Linked DNA regions of Medicago truncatula. The protein of the gene in region 2 binds, or shares a complex with, the protein of the main gene of each other region. Links are inferred from orthologs where the notes say so. Each region holds a gene or a part of one and is shown on either strand. Other genes may lie near its edges.

Region 1 (7,345 bases), on a different chromosome or scaffold from region 2:
GATTATGGTTTTCTATATATTGAGTGCTTTCTTTTCACGCTCTTTTATATATTCGTCTCTGGGTAGCATTGTGGCAATGGCAAGACATTCCAATAGCCTCATTATTGTGTGCTAGTATATTGTTTTTTTGGGACTAAAATGTGCTAGTTTATTGGCGTTGTTACACTCTCTTTTTTGTGTGCCGATGACTATAGTGAAGTATTTAATTTCAAGGGTTTACAACTTTACTTTGCATTTTTTTTTTATATGAAAAACATAGTGGAATAGGAATTGGGGAACCAAAAATACCAAGGTATTATTTGAGAGTGGAAAGGTTGATGTTGAGGACCCATCTTATATAGCAAAATAGTAAGAAATGATTAGAACGTGAAAATGAAATGATAAAATTGTTAGGCCCCACTTGATTTAGAAGCTGGATTCCAAGACCAGGGTACCAACCAACCACTGCACCATGTTATCAACAAATAACACCCTTTATCGCCCGCACAAGTTCAATAATGTCATTCTAATGGTTAAATTTTCTCTCCATTTTTTTAGCTGTTTTCCTTTAGAAATATGTACGTGAATGATGCAATTTTTATCTACTTCTTTTAGGTGTCTTTGAATTTAGATTCCCTATAGTCATGTGAGCACAATTTAGTGTGGGCGGGTTTTAGCATGGGGCAATTGTTAAATTGTTCCATCTTAAATCAATTTTGTTTTATTTGCTATTAATTGTACATTCTATAATTTTATATTTCAATTTATAGCTCTATTTAATTATAATATATCAATTTTAATTTAATAAGGACTAAAATATTTTGGAGAGACAAAAACATGTCATTTTTATAGAACTAAAAATAAAATTCGTTATAAACCAAAATTTTTAGTCCCCTTTTAATTAATATTAAAATTGTGTGCTGTGTTGTTTTAGAGGGACAAAAACATGTCATTTTGGGTGAGCTAATTTAGAGGGACAAAAATATGTCACTTTGACTTGGGATTTTGAAGTGTGTTTCTTCTCAAGGTCTCATGTTTGATTCTCCCTATGTCAATTTGAGTGGAGTAATTTAACTTCTTCAAAAAAATTCGCTATATTTATAAGGACCAAAAAATTATTCAATCCTTAATATTACAAAGTTTTGTTGTAGGGTTTAATATTACAAAGTTAGATACAAACTAAATTGATTTATTTATAAATAATGTAGTATATATATATATATATATATATATATATATTTATAACATATTTTTTTTATCCCAGAACTAATCAAGTCTATGTTTTCAAATTAAAAAAAAAAAAATATTAAGACTGTTTTCAAATTAAAAAGATTATTAAGAATGGGCCGGATGTATTAGATTTTTAAACGGGAGATTAAAAAATAACATATTCATAACTAAATTAATTTGAGTCAAATTATAATTGAATATGTTTTTTTTTCTTCAGCAAATATAAGGTTATACAAGTAATAGCAAATAAAACAAAATTGATCTAAGTTGGGATAATTTCACAATTGTCCCATGCTAAAACTCGCCTTTAGTGAGCTTATACCCTTAGATTAATCTTTTTCTTTCATATCTCTCTCTCAAAATCAATATCATAACAATAGAGTCTTCAAATCTTATTTCATATACATTGATACTATAAGATGTTGGATAAATTAAACTAAGCCCGTTTTATCTAACTTCAAAAATCAAGTTTAGAATATGTTTAAACGAAGCATACAAATGTCAAACGCTTCTGCCAACATGTTTAAACTTTTTAGGCCAAGAAAGTCTTCACCATGTGACTATCCTCTTTGTGGGGCACATGGGGTGATAATAATGGCATCATCCTTCTGCTAACGTGAACATACATTTTGATCCCCTCCTCATCTTCCTTTTTTATTTTAAGCAATGAAACTTTACTTTAAATATTTACTCCAATTTCCTGTTTTCTTTATGTTTCATGTTCTTGATATTAATCAGTATTGTTTTAATTAAGCATTGCATTACCAATAGATTAACAATTGATCATGAACTAAACTTCACAGGTCTCGGTGGATTGTGCTATAGTGATTAGTCCAAGAAAGCAATCTCTGACTTACAAGCAGTGTGGATTCGATGGACTGAGTGTTTAATGAAGAAGAATAGTGCATATAATTCTTGTTGACACTATCAATGTCCTTAATTTTCACTTGATTTCTCTCTCAACTCTCATTTCTTCAATTAATTTTAGGAAGAAATGAGTAGGAAAAAAATAGTTGATTAGAGGAAATATTGAATTTACAATGGCTATCAAAAAAGGAGTCTCAACAAATTGTTTAACTCCATAGTCATGGGTGTTTTTGTGGAAAATATATTAAATCAGGGCACTAAGCATTTTTCTCATAAGAATTTTTGCATAATCTTCTTTCTTATTTGGTTACTTCCATTGTAAGGAAGAAAAAAAAATCTGTTGACCAGTTTGCAAACTGTAAAGTTAATCCAATTAGTGGGTGAAGCATCTGGGTTGGCTTTTGTTAAAGCTCTCTCCCAACCCAAACCCCTTTCTATCTTCTAACCTTTTTGTTTCCTCATCTTAAATTGTCCCATTTCAAAAGAGCCTTGGAAGTTTTATCCATTTGATTATTAGAATTTAATGTAAATCATTTCTTTAATTTTTTGGGCTATAATGTGTTTTGATTAATATATGGTTTATTTGATTAGTTTATAAGTTACTTCATTTCATATGATAACTTGTACTTTATCACTTTTTCTTTTATTCTTACTCAATTTAATAAAATTATTCTATTATCACTTTTTTCCTAAGAGTCATGACACTCGTTATCTAGTATACTTTACTATGTTAATGTTTGATTGTGAGAATAAAGTGAGGATGGATGATGATGGTGGGAAGAAAGAAAAAGATGTCAAGGGGGAGTACATTAAATATATTGTTTGATGTGAATTAACGAGTGAAAGAGGAAAGAAAAAGAGATGTTGATATTATTTCTATTTTTTTCTTCATCCAATTGACCCGGCTAGTATATTTTTCCCGATCCACCGAATCTAATCCCTTTGTCATTCTCCCCATCTTTCTCTTGCAACTCTTAATATAGTTTTTATAAGTAAATGATGAAAAAAATATTTTGCTATGTGCTCTTGCAGCTCTACTTATAGTCCCTCCTTCATGAGAAATACTTAAATGAAATTGAGTTTTGCTGACATTATTTGTATTGTGTCACATTAGCGTGTGCTCCTTCATCACTCACACTCACCTTGCTCTGATAAGTTTCTCTAACATAGTTTGGTTGCATTACATCAAGACAACAACGACTCTTTCTTCGACATAGACACCCATGTTTTTTTTTTACGATTTCATCCATTATTGTTATTTGCACACATTCACAACTCGATATAAGAAACACGTGATTATGGAAATATATAAATTATATCGTTTTGTCTATCTAATTTACTTGTATATCAATAAATATTAAAGCAAAAGATTGGGTGCAGAGGGTTCACCTGCCGCAACATCCTAATCATATATAAGTAAAAGAAAATGAAAGTACAAAGAGAAGGTGTACAAAGAGCAAAACCCTCAAGGAAAATAAAAAGCAAGAGAAAGCTCAACTCTCCAATTGAAAACCTTTAAAAGTATTTTTGCCAAATCTGTTAGGGTAATTTTCTTATAATTTATATAGAGGAGTCGACTTCTCACTTGTTCTTACATTGTCATGTTTTTGGTTCTCTATGGCAACTTATCAGATCTTGGATTGGAGTGACTGGTGTTGATACATATAATGTCAGTGAGCACTTCTACCAATTCATTCATTATTCAGGTTATACAAAGGCGTGTCGCTCTTTTCTTCAATTATTATGGTTGTTGTGTGTTTGGTTGTTGTGAAATGAACGAAACAACAAATTGTTCAAAAACACTGCAACACCTATTGAGCAGTTGTTAGATAAAGTTAAATTTCATTCGTTGTGGTGGCTTAAAGCTAAAAAAACCACTTTTGTGTACGGTTCTCAAAATTGGTGGTCGAACCCTTTATATTGTTTGGGTATTGACCGACTTTTTCTTATAATTATACTTTGTGACAGTTTGTTTTTACCGGGTTGGAACATTTAGTACACCTTGTACTAAAGCGTTTCCATCGCTGAAGTTATAATATTTCATTTTGATTTTTCAAAAAAAAAAAAAAATTCTTATAATTTATGAGGGAGAGAGTAATCTACTACTACTATTTATTTTAATTTATACATTATCTTTTAAAATTTAAATAAAATAAATATTTTATCTTGGTACAAAATATTTATAGGATTTAAAAATTAGTTAAAAATATCTTGTATATAACTTACTTAAAAATAAATTTTAATAATTTTCTCATAAATACTTGGGCTTCCCTCTCGGGCCTATCTGGGCTTTTCTTTGAACGGAGAAAAACGACGTCGTTAGGATGAATGATAAACAAAGATCGCGCACATAGAAAAACCTTACTTGCTTGTAGTTTGGTCGGTTAATTTCATCTATCATCGCATCGAATTCAGGTATGAATGCAAAGTTTGGTTTTGTAGATTTTGTTTTCTCATGTCATTTTTTAGGGTATGATTTTAATTTTTCCCAATTCGATTATTTACACGGTTAGGGTTTTGATCTGAAACCAGTATCCGTGAAGAGAGAAGAACGTAATGGATTTATCAGCAGTGAAAACCGCATTGGAATCCAAATCTTACGACAAAATTGCTGATATCTGCGATAATCTCATGCTTCAGGTTCGTTTCTTTCACTCTCACTGTTTCCTTAGGGCTTTTTTTTTTTTTTTTTTTTTGTTTGTGTAATTCGTTGCTTACTTGATTGTTGATACTTACTCAGGTTGCTGCCGACGGTGTTGCGTTTCACGATGAATGGCCCTACTCCGTTCATCTTCTCGCTCATTTTTATGTTCATGACATGTAATCTATTTTCCCTCTTCTTAGTTTTATTATTCATCATGTATATAAATAAATAATGAAGATGGAAGTGTTATATGCTTCAAGTTAAATTAGTTTAATGTTGGATGATATATTGCTACTGTTATAATCTTTGTTTTATAGTAACTGACAATGTGCCGTTAGAATTGACTTATTTTAGTTTACCTACTTACATTGGCATTTGCCAGACTCGCCCGACACTTTTTGAGCTTATTTACTTACATAAGCTCTTGTGTGACTATTTGGTAGATTTATGGAAACAACCTATGACATGTCCATAAGTTGTTTTTAGTTTATTTCCATAAGCTGTTCAGGATTGCTTATTGAAAATAGCTTAGACATGTCTATAAGTTGTTTTCAGTTTATTTCCATAAGCTCTCCGGGATTGCTTATGAAATGAAATAGCTTATAGCTTATATGAAAATAGTTTGACTTTATTTTATGCTATAGAAACAGCTTTGCATAAGTATTTATATGAGAAGCACTAATGCTATAGAAGTTTATTTAAGTTGTTTATCCAAACAGGACCAGTATTTTGAAAGGGATGGAGTTGGTTATATGTTATGTTTTGTAACTTTTTAGATTTTAGGTTTTCTGTTTGCTGTTGTGATATTGCAGCAACAGTGCTCGTTTTCTATGGAAAACAATACCTTCCTCAATCAAAGAAAGCAACCCTGAAGTCAATGCTGTGTGGAAAATTGGTCAACAGCTTTGGTTAAGGAACTATGGTGGAGTGCATGAGGCGGTCCGTGGTTTTGAGTGGAGTCCAGAACTCCAATGCTTCATTTCTGCTTTCTCAGGCAAGCATTTAAGAATTTTTTTATTTTGTTTTGTTAGCAGAGCTTTGAAATTTATGTAGAAAGAAACTCTTTGATCTTCACTATATTTAAGGCATGATTCTGTTCAATTTATCTTCACTTTAAATATCTTAAAATTATAACTGTATAAGCTGTTACCATTTAACCATAGACCCCTAATTTATCTAAACGTATCCCTTGATTTTATTATAACCAATTATATCTTGTTAATTTTGACAATAGACTATTTTATCAAGAAAGTAAGTCATTTCTGTGTGGGACGATCACTAAAGCATGGATGTATTGATTATTGAATCTGTATTATTGTTGGTTGTTTACATTACTGTATTTAGTGTTCAAGATAGTGGCATGTTGCCATAGTATTGTTTGTTGTTTACATTACTGTATTTAGTGTTCAAGATAGTGGCATGTTACTATGGAGGGAAACAAGTGACTAAAAATTATCATTGGTTGTTTGCACTACTGCATATAGTGTTCAAGATAGTTACATGTTGCTTTAGCATGTTATGGATGGAAACATTGCAAAAAGATGAATTACTTTGATGGAAAAAGTGTAATATAGTTTGAACCTGGGAAGAACAGTGATTGATCACTTGTTTTTGGATGTTCTCTTCCCCTTTAAATATAACTAAAAAAGAATTTGATGAATAATGTAATTTCTTTGGCCAGCATGTAATGTTGACGAAGGTGCCACGGATCACATAAAATTTAGTAAACTAGTGATGTGCCACTTCTTCAATTGTTTTAATAAGTATGTTTCTTGCTTTTCAATTTATTTTCTAAGCAGTTTGACTGCAAAAGTCTTTTGCATCTATATGTTTTTTTTCTTCCAAATATGAGTTGTACAGTGCAAAAGTTAATATCACCAATATGCTTTTTCCAGAACTTTACACAAAGGAGATTTTTCAGCTTCTTGTATCTGCTTATTCTACAATAAGTGTTGAAGATGCTGCTTTATTTCTGGGAATGAGTGATGATGGTGCTACAAGCTGTAAGTAATTTTATGTTCATTTTTAAATCAAACAATGCATGTCTATTTGTTTTAGCACCTTTTGTATCATAACCAATGTTGTCCTGATATTTATTTTTACATTAAATAACATCTACAAGCAATCAATGCATTTATTATAACATGATTATGTTCAACATTATTTCTGCATGACTAGATGATACTCTTTAATGTTTGGCCCCTATCCTTTCTTGACGACCGTTGAACCGAAAATAGTCCTTTTAATCTTGCACTCGGATACACATTCAGTGAAAGTGGATTCCAATTCTCCTTGTTGTATTCCATGCCTCTACTGTCAATATATCTACTAACTAATTGGATTTTTAGTAGAGTGTAGAGTAGCGAATCAAAATTTTATGCTAAAATGTGATGGGCAATAAGAGAATCTTTAAAGGTTCCTCATGTACCATGTGATGTAATTAATGGAAGTCATATAGATATAGCCGAGAGTCCTGTTAGTGACATATATGTTGGATCTTTATTAGCGTAGCTTCTGCACTCAATCTTTAACCTCTTAAATGGTTTAATCTTATATTAGTGTCTCACTTTATTGGGTTTGGATTTAAGGTTTGTTTTTGGGTGTATTGACACTGTAGAAACTATG
Region 2 (7,777 bases):
AATTTCACGAAGCATGCACACCGTATGATTTTAATTTAGCTGGAAAAATGGGTGGTTTGATGGAAAAGTGAGACGCTACAGTAACAACACAACACAATACATTGCTCGGGATGTACTCGGGATGTTATTTCTCGCTAAAACAAGCATTACCCTAAGTATAATGAACAATCTCTTTTTTCTTGTGAACCTCTCCCTTGGGAAGTGGAACATACTCTTCAGCTTCAAGGTCAAACTCAGTAGCAAAAGCATCACTTCGGCCAACCCTTTTCACAGCCCCACTATTTGCCTCAATATATATAACATCCCTGACAGCTACCTGTATCAAAGCTGTAGAATGTTTGACACCAATATTTGTATAGATTTAAAATGACCTTTGAAAAAGAGAAAAGAATAACCTTTTCCTTGATCAAGGCATCATATATGGTGGGGTCCAACTTTAGTTGCTTGGTTCCTTTGACTGTCTTCAATCCAATTATCACATGGCTGATACTTTTACCATAATCTTCAGTTATACTCTCAGTTTCTTCAGGAGAGAGCTCGGTGACCTCGCCTTCATATACTTCCTTATTTTCCTTAATACGAAGACCGATAGCACGTCGAAAATTTTCCATAAGAACCCCGTTGAGTATACTTCGGAACCAACCATTGGGCAGAATGGAACCTTGGTCCCAAGCTCCTGACATATCCCAAGTGCTAATGCAGTCTTTCCGGTTCCCGGGGGCCCAGCGAGAAGGAGTGCCTTGCCAGCCATCTTCTTCTGGCGTATCATGTCGACCACAAGGCCACACGCTTCTCTTGCCTCAGCTTGTCCCACAAACCCAGAAGCAAAAGGCAATGCTTTTCCACTCACCTGAACAATGACCAAACCTTTGAGCATAGCAAGAAATAAGCAAAAGGGTATGGCTTCACACACAACAAACACAAAACGGAGAAAATAACTTATTAAATTGAGGAAGAGAAGAGAACGAACCTCAAGACCTAGGCCTTTAATGTGAGTGTGAGTAGCAACACGCTGTTTCTTTGTTGTCGACTGAACCTCTTCAATTTTCATCTTTGTAGTCAATCTTGGATAGCGGGATAGCCGTATGACAAATAGCGGTCACTGATATTTGATTATTTTTTTAACAAATTACATTAAACAAACTTGTATATAATTTTGACATGCATGGGGAGAGAGATTGAAGGGAGAAGAACATGACACAGATTGAGAATGAGAAGCAAAGCGGCAGCAATGTATATGAGGAAGAGGAAATGAAATAAGGCTAGGGTTTGAGTGTATATCACTTACAAATTGGACTAGGTATAATCCGAAAATGTCGTATAAAAAAGAGGGAAAAAAGGTGGACACACAACCAAAAATTATGTGCAGAAAGTGGCTAGGGTCCTATGTTTTAAGACTTCATAAAAATTGAGTGGGAGGTAGAAGTCAGTTTCTAGCATAATTAGCATGAAATGTAACAAAACTATGAATGCAATTAGAATCGGGGGACAATTCAACGTGAATATGCTTTTGATTAAAAAATAGGTCGGACGAACCTATTTTTTTTGTCCCTCTATTGCACAAAGTAATTCAAAATTTCATAGGATAGTTTGCCTATGATGGAAAATATTTAGGACTAAAACTTGATAAAAAATTTAGAGGAAATAAAAAGCAAAATTTGAAAATTGTATAAGGACAAAAAACTTATTTAACCCTAAATTAGAAAAGGTAAAAAGAAAAGGAAGGAATGTATGTCTCATGGTAAGTCCCAAATGGTAAAGGCGACGACGCCGCTCCACAAGGCAATAAAATATGAGACAACTCCAATGGAGATGCCACCAGTTACGATGGTGACATCAACACCAGATGCATTTGTTTATGACGATTACATGAGAATTATGCAAACAAGAAATACTTGCGTACAAAACGAATAATAACATGACAATCATTAACTTTTTAATAAAAATGTAAAATTAATATAATGAAAATCGGTTCTAATCTTATTTCTCTTGGTCACTTTGATAAAATCATTGTTTGCAATCAAGTCATGCGCTGACTACCAAACAACCCTTCTATCAACCCCCCTGGGAATCAATAGAGTTTGATTGAACGATAATTTCGTAGGCAGAGCATAACTTGATGTGCAAACAATAATATTTTTTCAACGGTAAAGAGAAAAATAAGGAGAACCGATTTCATTATCTTAACTTTACATTTTTATTAAAAAAATAATTAATGACTATATGTTATTTTTCATTAGTTATAAAACCATAACATGTTCGTTTGTACACAAGTATCTCTCTCAATAACTTAGTACTAAGATGCATTGAAAATCTCTCGTCACTATTTATATATCCAAATTTCGTAAAATAAAAAATACATAGTTGCAAAGATATATTACAAGTTTTTGCTTTGCGAATAAGAATTGACATTCTCATTGATCATGAAAATCTCTAAAGTCTGAGATGTGAATTTTCTTCTATAATTATCACCACAAAAACAATTTGTAAATCACAACACTCAATTTTAAAAATTATTAAATTCTAAAAACAAAAAAAAATTGTAAACTAAATTAATGCAATAGCTCTCAATTATAATGAAATTTCTGCTCATAGCTTGAAACAAAAGACAAAGTATCACAAAGCAAATATAACAGAGACACTTGTATATTACACATAACAGAGACGCATCGATACCAGGGGTGGACCCAGACATTCTACATTGTTGTGGCTAAAATTTCATGATGCAGATTATACTAACAACAAGAATTAACATTGTTTGATGCAATACAATTACAATAAAAATCGTCTACTATCCATTTGTTGAAAATGAGCTAAATGAGCTAAAATAACATCAATGCTAATTGTGAAAAGAACATTTTTTCTATATAAGTTATAACTTATAAGACGGTCATTTAGCCACAATTGTACACAGAAGTCACAATGCTCAATAAGCAATTATCATGTACAAGCAATTTTTCCAAACTCTATAACAATGAACTTAATTCTTTTTTTTGAACAAATTATATTATTAATAAAAAAAAAAACATATGGCATTTGGCGGTAGCAAAAAAGCTATGGCATATTTCCATGCATTCAGAAAAGCTATTAACGATTCTCAATCTCCAATTCTAAAACCCTAAAAAGTTTCTCAATTCTCAATTCTAAAACCCTAAAACAAGACATTGGTGAAGGAATGAGAAACTAGAGAATCAATTGGATTACCTTGACGTAGAGTGAGTGAGAACTGCGAGAGAGATGGTTGGTTTGAAGGTGATGCTGAGAGTGGAGAAGAGAGAGGCCTTGACGGGGTTTGTTTCTTGTTGTGAGAGAGAAGAAATAAAATTGATGTGTGTTGTGTTCTGGGTTCTCAGCGTATACACGGTGGGCACTTGGCTGTATACGGTGGGTCCGTTCCTGATTTATACCAGTATAAATTGTTTTTTTTTTTGAGGGAGCAGTATAAATGTTAACAATGTGAACATTTAATAGCGTCATCGTGAGTTTAAGAGTTGACACAGACAACACAGGATAATATACGTGAGGTTTAAACCTCAGCGGAAAAAAAAAATCTTTAATAGTAAATTTTTTATCTGTGGCAAAAAAAAAAACCTATAATAGTAAGTTTTTATTAAAATATGTGTGATCAATGTATTCACATGCATTCACTTATTAATAAGATCCTAATTAAAAAAATTAAGTTCCTTGGGCTCTAGTGATAAAGAGCTTATTCGAAGAACGTACCCGGGAATATCGGGTTCGATTCCTAGGAGAACAATATTTGACCAATGCACATGCCTCTACGCATTAGCCGAATTAGTCGTCCACCTTTGGTGGGTTGGAAACCGGTGCGAAAACCAAAAAAAAAAAATCCTAATTAAAAAAGGAAAATGATATCTTGGCTCATAATACATAGATTTAAAGCCAAATGTCGAAACTTAATTTTGAAAATTGTGCATTTAATGTCTTTTTTTAATCCTTAACTTGTGCCCTTAGGGCATAAGTTAGTATGACCCAATAAAAATATACATTAGGACATACATTCTTTAGAAGGTTAAATATGTTTTTGATCCCTATAAATATCTCAATTTTTTTTTCGTTTTAATCCCTATAAGAAATTTCTTCAACTTTTAATCCTTATTTTTAAGTTAATTTTTGTATTTTTTAATGACATTTTGCATAAATGTGTAGGAAATTGTAAAAATCTTTCCAAAAAAAATTAGAATTTTTTAACAAAATATAAATCATATATGAAAAATGTTAATATCAACATTAAAAGATTATTTTGACTAACAAAAATATACGATCAAAAACTATTAAAAATTTTGATGCATTACTTGTTCTTTATTTCAGGAACCAAAATTACTAGTAATCGGTAAATTTCATACGTATCACACACTCTTTCATAAAAAAAAATATATATCACACATAATAAAAGAATAGGTTAAATTGCACTCTTCGCCTCCTAAGTTTTAAAATGTTGCGATTTTGGCTCACTATTAAAAAAATTGCAAAAGTGACCCATATTTAAGGAAATATAATCTTTTGACCCTTTAACATAGGGGAAATATGATCTTTTGACTCCTTATCTTTTAAAAAGTTACGATTATAACCCCTATCTTGGAACACACGATATCTTCTCAATAATTTTGGGACGAAAGGAGTCTAAAAATTGCCATTTTTTTATCTTTGTTTTGACAAAAAATATTGCTATTTTTTTAGAAAAATGCAGTATAACTTCAAAAATAAAAATCCTTTTCACACAGGCACACATAAACCAACACATATATAAAACCTCCCATCTTTCCTCCTTCAAAACCCACTCACTCGTTACTCGTCGAATCAACTCGACTCAGAACTCAGAACCCTAATCATCACCGCCATGGATCCTCTCGAACCATTGATCGCACAAATCCAAGGTCTATCAAGCTCCTCCGCCGACATCGCTCGTCTTCATACCATCTTGAAACACTCCGATGAAACTCTCCGTTCCGATTCATCTCGTCTCTATCCAATTCTTCAACTCATTGATCCTTCCATTCATTCTCTCGGTTTTCTCTATCTTCTGTACGTATCACAATAATCTTATTCTTTCTTATAATCGCTTTTTAATTACTAGATTTTAGCTTCTTTTTTTGTTATTGTTGATTGAATGTTTAAACCCCATTCCTGGACTCTTAAGCCAAATATTCACTTTTATTTTGATGTTATTTTTTTATTTGAATTTATTACCAATCTATGAAGTACACACTGGATACGACCCTGACACGTTGACATGGATTCGACACTGACTGTAAAAGTGACTTAATTGAATATAATTACATGCGTCAGTGGTGTCGGACACCAGACATGCCTTCCATCGGAAATGTCGGTGCTACATAGTTCTCAATTTCTATTACCTTCTAATATTGCCATGACCTGTTTGGATGAATAAACAACTGAATGTCATATATAACACCACACTATACTGATACGACATTGAAACATACGATTACATTCAATTATGTCATTTTCTCAAATTATTTTGGGTATCAAAGTGTTAGTATCGAGTCCGGTGTCTGTGCTTCGTAAGTAAGCAATCCTTACTTTGCCTTCATTTTTTTATAATAGCAGAATAGAATCTCTTTTTTAATATATCTATATATTCTTAGATTTTAGGTATTGTTGTTGTTGTTGATTTAATGTTAAAACCCTAGTTTCTGGACTCTATAGAGTTTTTTTTTTTAATATTCAGCAGGTTGTTATTATTTGTTTAGAATTTAGACCCAATTAGATTAGCTTCTAGCTATGAAGCCACTAACGTGTACACCTCAGACGACACTAACACGTCAACACCGGTGATAATTTGTGTAAATGGCATAATTGATTCTAATCACATGTGTTAGTGTTGGACACCAACATGTGTTGCACACCGGACACGCCTCCAATATAGCTTATGAAAACATCTTTTAGAATATACAAAAACAATTCAACTTTATTTTATCTTTTGCTATAAAAATAGCTTATGTAGCTTATGCTTAAGCGCTTATCATGATAAGCGCTAAGGCTAAGCTGCAAATATGTTGTTTATCCAAACAGGCCCTTAGTCCTAATTTTTATTGGCTTCTAGTAAATGGCATTGTTTAGATAAACATCTTAATTAAGCAATTATAACATAAAACTTGTCATATAAATGCTTATGTATGAGTTATTTCTATAAAATAAAGATAAATTGTTTCCATATAAGGTATATGTGGTTTTCATAAGCTTAGCTTATGGAAATAAGATGAAAACAGCTAGCTTATATACATGTCATTATTGTTGTTGGATTAAATGTTAAACCCTAGTTGATGGACTCTAGAACCAAATATTCACTTTTTTGCTTAGGTGGTAATTATTTCCTTTGAATTTAGTCCCAATTTGGATAAACAACTTAATTATGCGCTTATAGCTTAAACAGTTATCATATAAAAATGCTTATGTATTAGCTATTTCTTTTACAAAAAATAAGATAAAACCGAATTGCTTTTATATAAGGTATAAGCTGTTTTCATGAATTGTCTTGGAGAGCTTATGGAGTAAGTTGAAAATAGCTTATGCATATGTTATAAGTTGTTTTCATAAGCTCTTTGAAACAGTCTAACAAGTGGTTATGTCAATAGGTAAACTTAAATAAGTCAATCAAACAGACATTTAGTATATAAGATTTGGATCATCTTAAGTGAGTTGAGAGTAAAGTAAGAAAATGAGCGCTTGTTATTTTAACACACTCGTAATTTGTGTTGCATGTGCATGTAATATGTAAAATTAACAATTGAATTCTTCATCAATGGTTGATATAATTACCTCAGACTCTAAATTGCTCACTTTAAAGGAGTTACATACTAGAATACAAGTGTTTCTGAATTGAAATAATCTGTAGTCTTTTATTTGTGATAAAGTATTGATAATCTATGAATCACATTTCACTGATACGTAGACACTGATCATAATTTGAGAAAAAGAAAGTGATTCAATGTAACCATATGCATCGGTGTCGTGCTGGTGTCGGACACCGGACATACCTTCATTATGAAGAGTGCTACAACTATAACTTTATAGGAGTGAATAGAGAAGCTAATTAAGGAACTTTCTGAAAAATTGAGATGCAGGGTAAAATTTGAACTTAGATAGGAGAAAGAAAAAGTTTTTTATTTTATTTTTATAACTGTTGATATATTTTTTTTCAGAAGTGCTTGCATTCGAGTTTATCTGAACTGTTCCTTAAATCTTGTTCACGTGCCTGTTTTGTTTGTTATGGAATAGTGAATTTATTTTTTCTGTTTTTATTTAATTGGAGACATACATTTATGGTTACAGAGATGCATTCTCAGCTGCTTCAGTTTCAAATCAGCAGCAAGCTGAAGAGGCAGTTCCGATCATAGCAAGATTCATCAATGCTTGCAGTGTGGAGCAGATTCGGTTGGCGCCAGAAAAATGTACTTGCTTTGTGTTGAAATATTGGGATTTCAATATTGCATTATTGAGCTTGTTTACTATTTACCCACAGAATAATGTTTCACCATCTTACCATAACATATACACCCTCCGGTCACTAATATAAGCAAAAAATTACATTTTAGATTCATTCATTTAATGATGTACATGGTCTTTATTATAGACCACATACATCATTAAATGAATGAACCTAAAATGTAGTTTTTTTGCTTATATTAGTGACCGGAGGGTGTACAAGTTTTAAGAACAAACAACTTGATGTGGAAAGATGCTGAAATATGGATGGATTATTTGTGAAAAATATGTTGTGAGTTGTGACGTC

The links.
Region 1: the proteins of COP9 signalosome complex subunit 3 (region 2) and COP9 signalosome complex subunit 8 are in contact, whole or in part, in a cryo-EM structure (PDB 9IS6), measured with the Arabidopsis thaliana proteins. The link is inferred for Medicago truncatula from reciprocal best matches to the Arabidopsis thaliana genes COP13 and COP9. Residues at the interface, in NP_568296.1 of Arabidopsis thaliana: Asp121, Leu123, Arg124, Pro128, Ala157, Lys158, Gly193, Leu194, Lys195, Lys332, Glu335, Met336, Leu339, Gln340, Ile342, Gln343, Ala349, Leu350, Ile351, Asn352, Gln353, Lys354, Asp377, Ile380, Gln381, Ile384, Lys388; in NP_193147.1 of Arabidopsis thaliana: Met26, Leu27, Ala30, Ser31, Gly33, Ile34, Glu35, Tyr36, Asp56, Phe60, Arg64, His89, Tyr91, Leu125, Ser128, Ala129, Tyr130, Ser131, Thr132, Ile133, Thr134, Asp137, Phe141, Met166, Arg187, Glu190, Tyr191, His194.

The regions. Positions count from the first base shown.
Region 1 is NC_053043.1:1,164,387-1,171,731, forward strand, and holds the start of COP9 signalosome complex subunit 8, read left to right. Parts: upstream 1-4,326; 5' UTR 4,327-4,491; intron 4,492-4,589; 5' UTR 4,590-4,632; coding exon 4,633-4,716; intron 4,717-4,816; coding exon 4,817-4,896; intron 4,897-5,532; coding exon 5,533-5,714; intron 5,715-6,615; coding exon 6,616-6,723; intron 6,724-7,345. Other genes in the region: uncharacterized protein, read left to right, coding at 2,013-2,099. UniProt on the Arabidopsis thaliana protein: Component of the COP9 signalosome complex (CSN), a complex involved in various cellular and developmental processes such as photomorphogenesis and auxin and jasmonate responses.
Region 2 is NC_053047.1:8,387,602-8,395,378, reverse strand, and holds the start of COP9 signalosome complex subunit 3, read left to right. Parts: upstream 1-4,742; 5' UTR 4,743-4,861; coding exon 4,862-5,046; intron 5,047-7,317; coding exon 7,318-7,436; intron 7,437-7,777. UniProt on the Arabidopsis thaliana protein: Component of the COP9 signalosome complex (CSN), a complex involved in various cellular and developmental processes such as photomorphogenesis and auxin and jasmonate responses.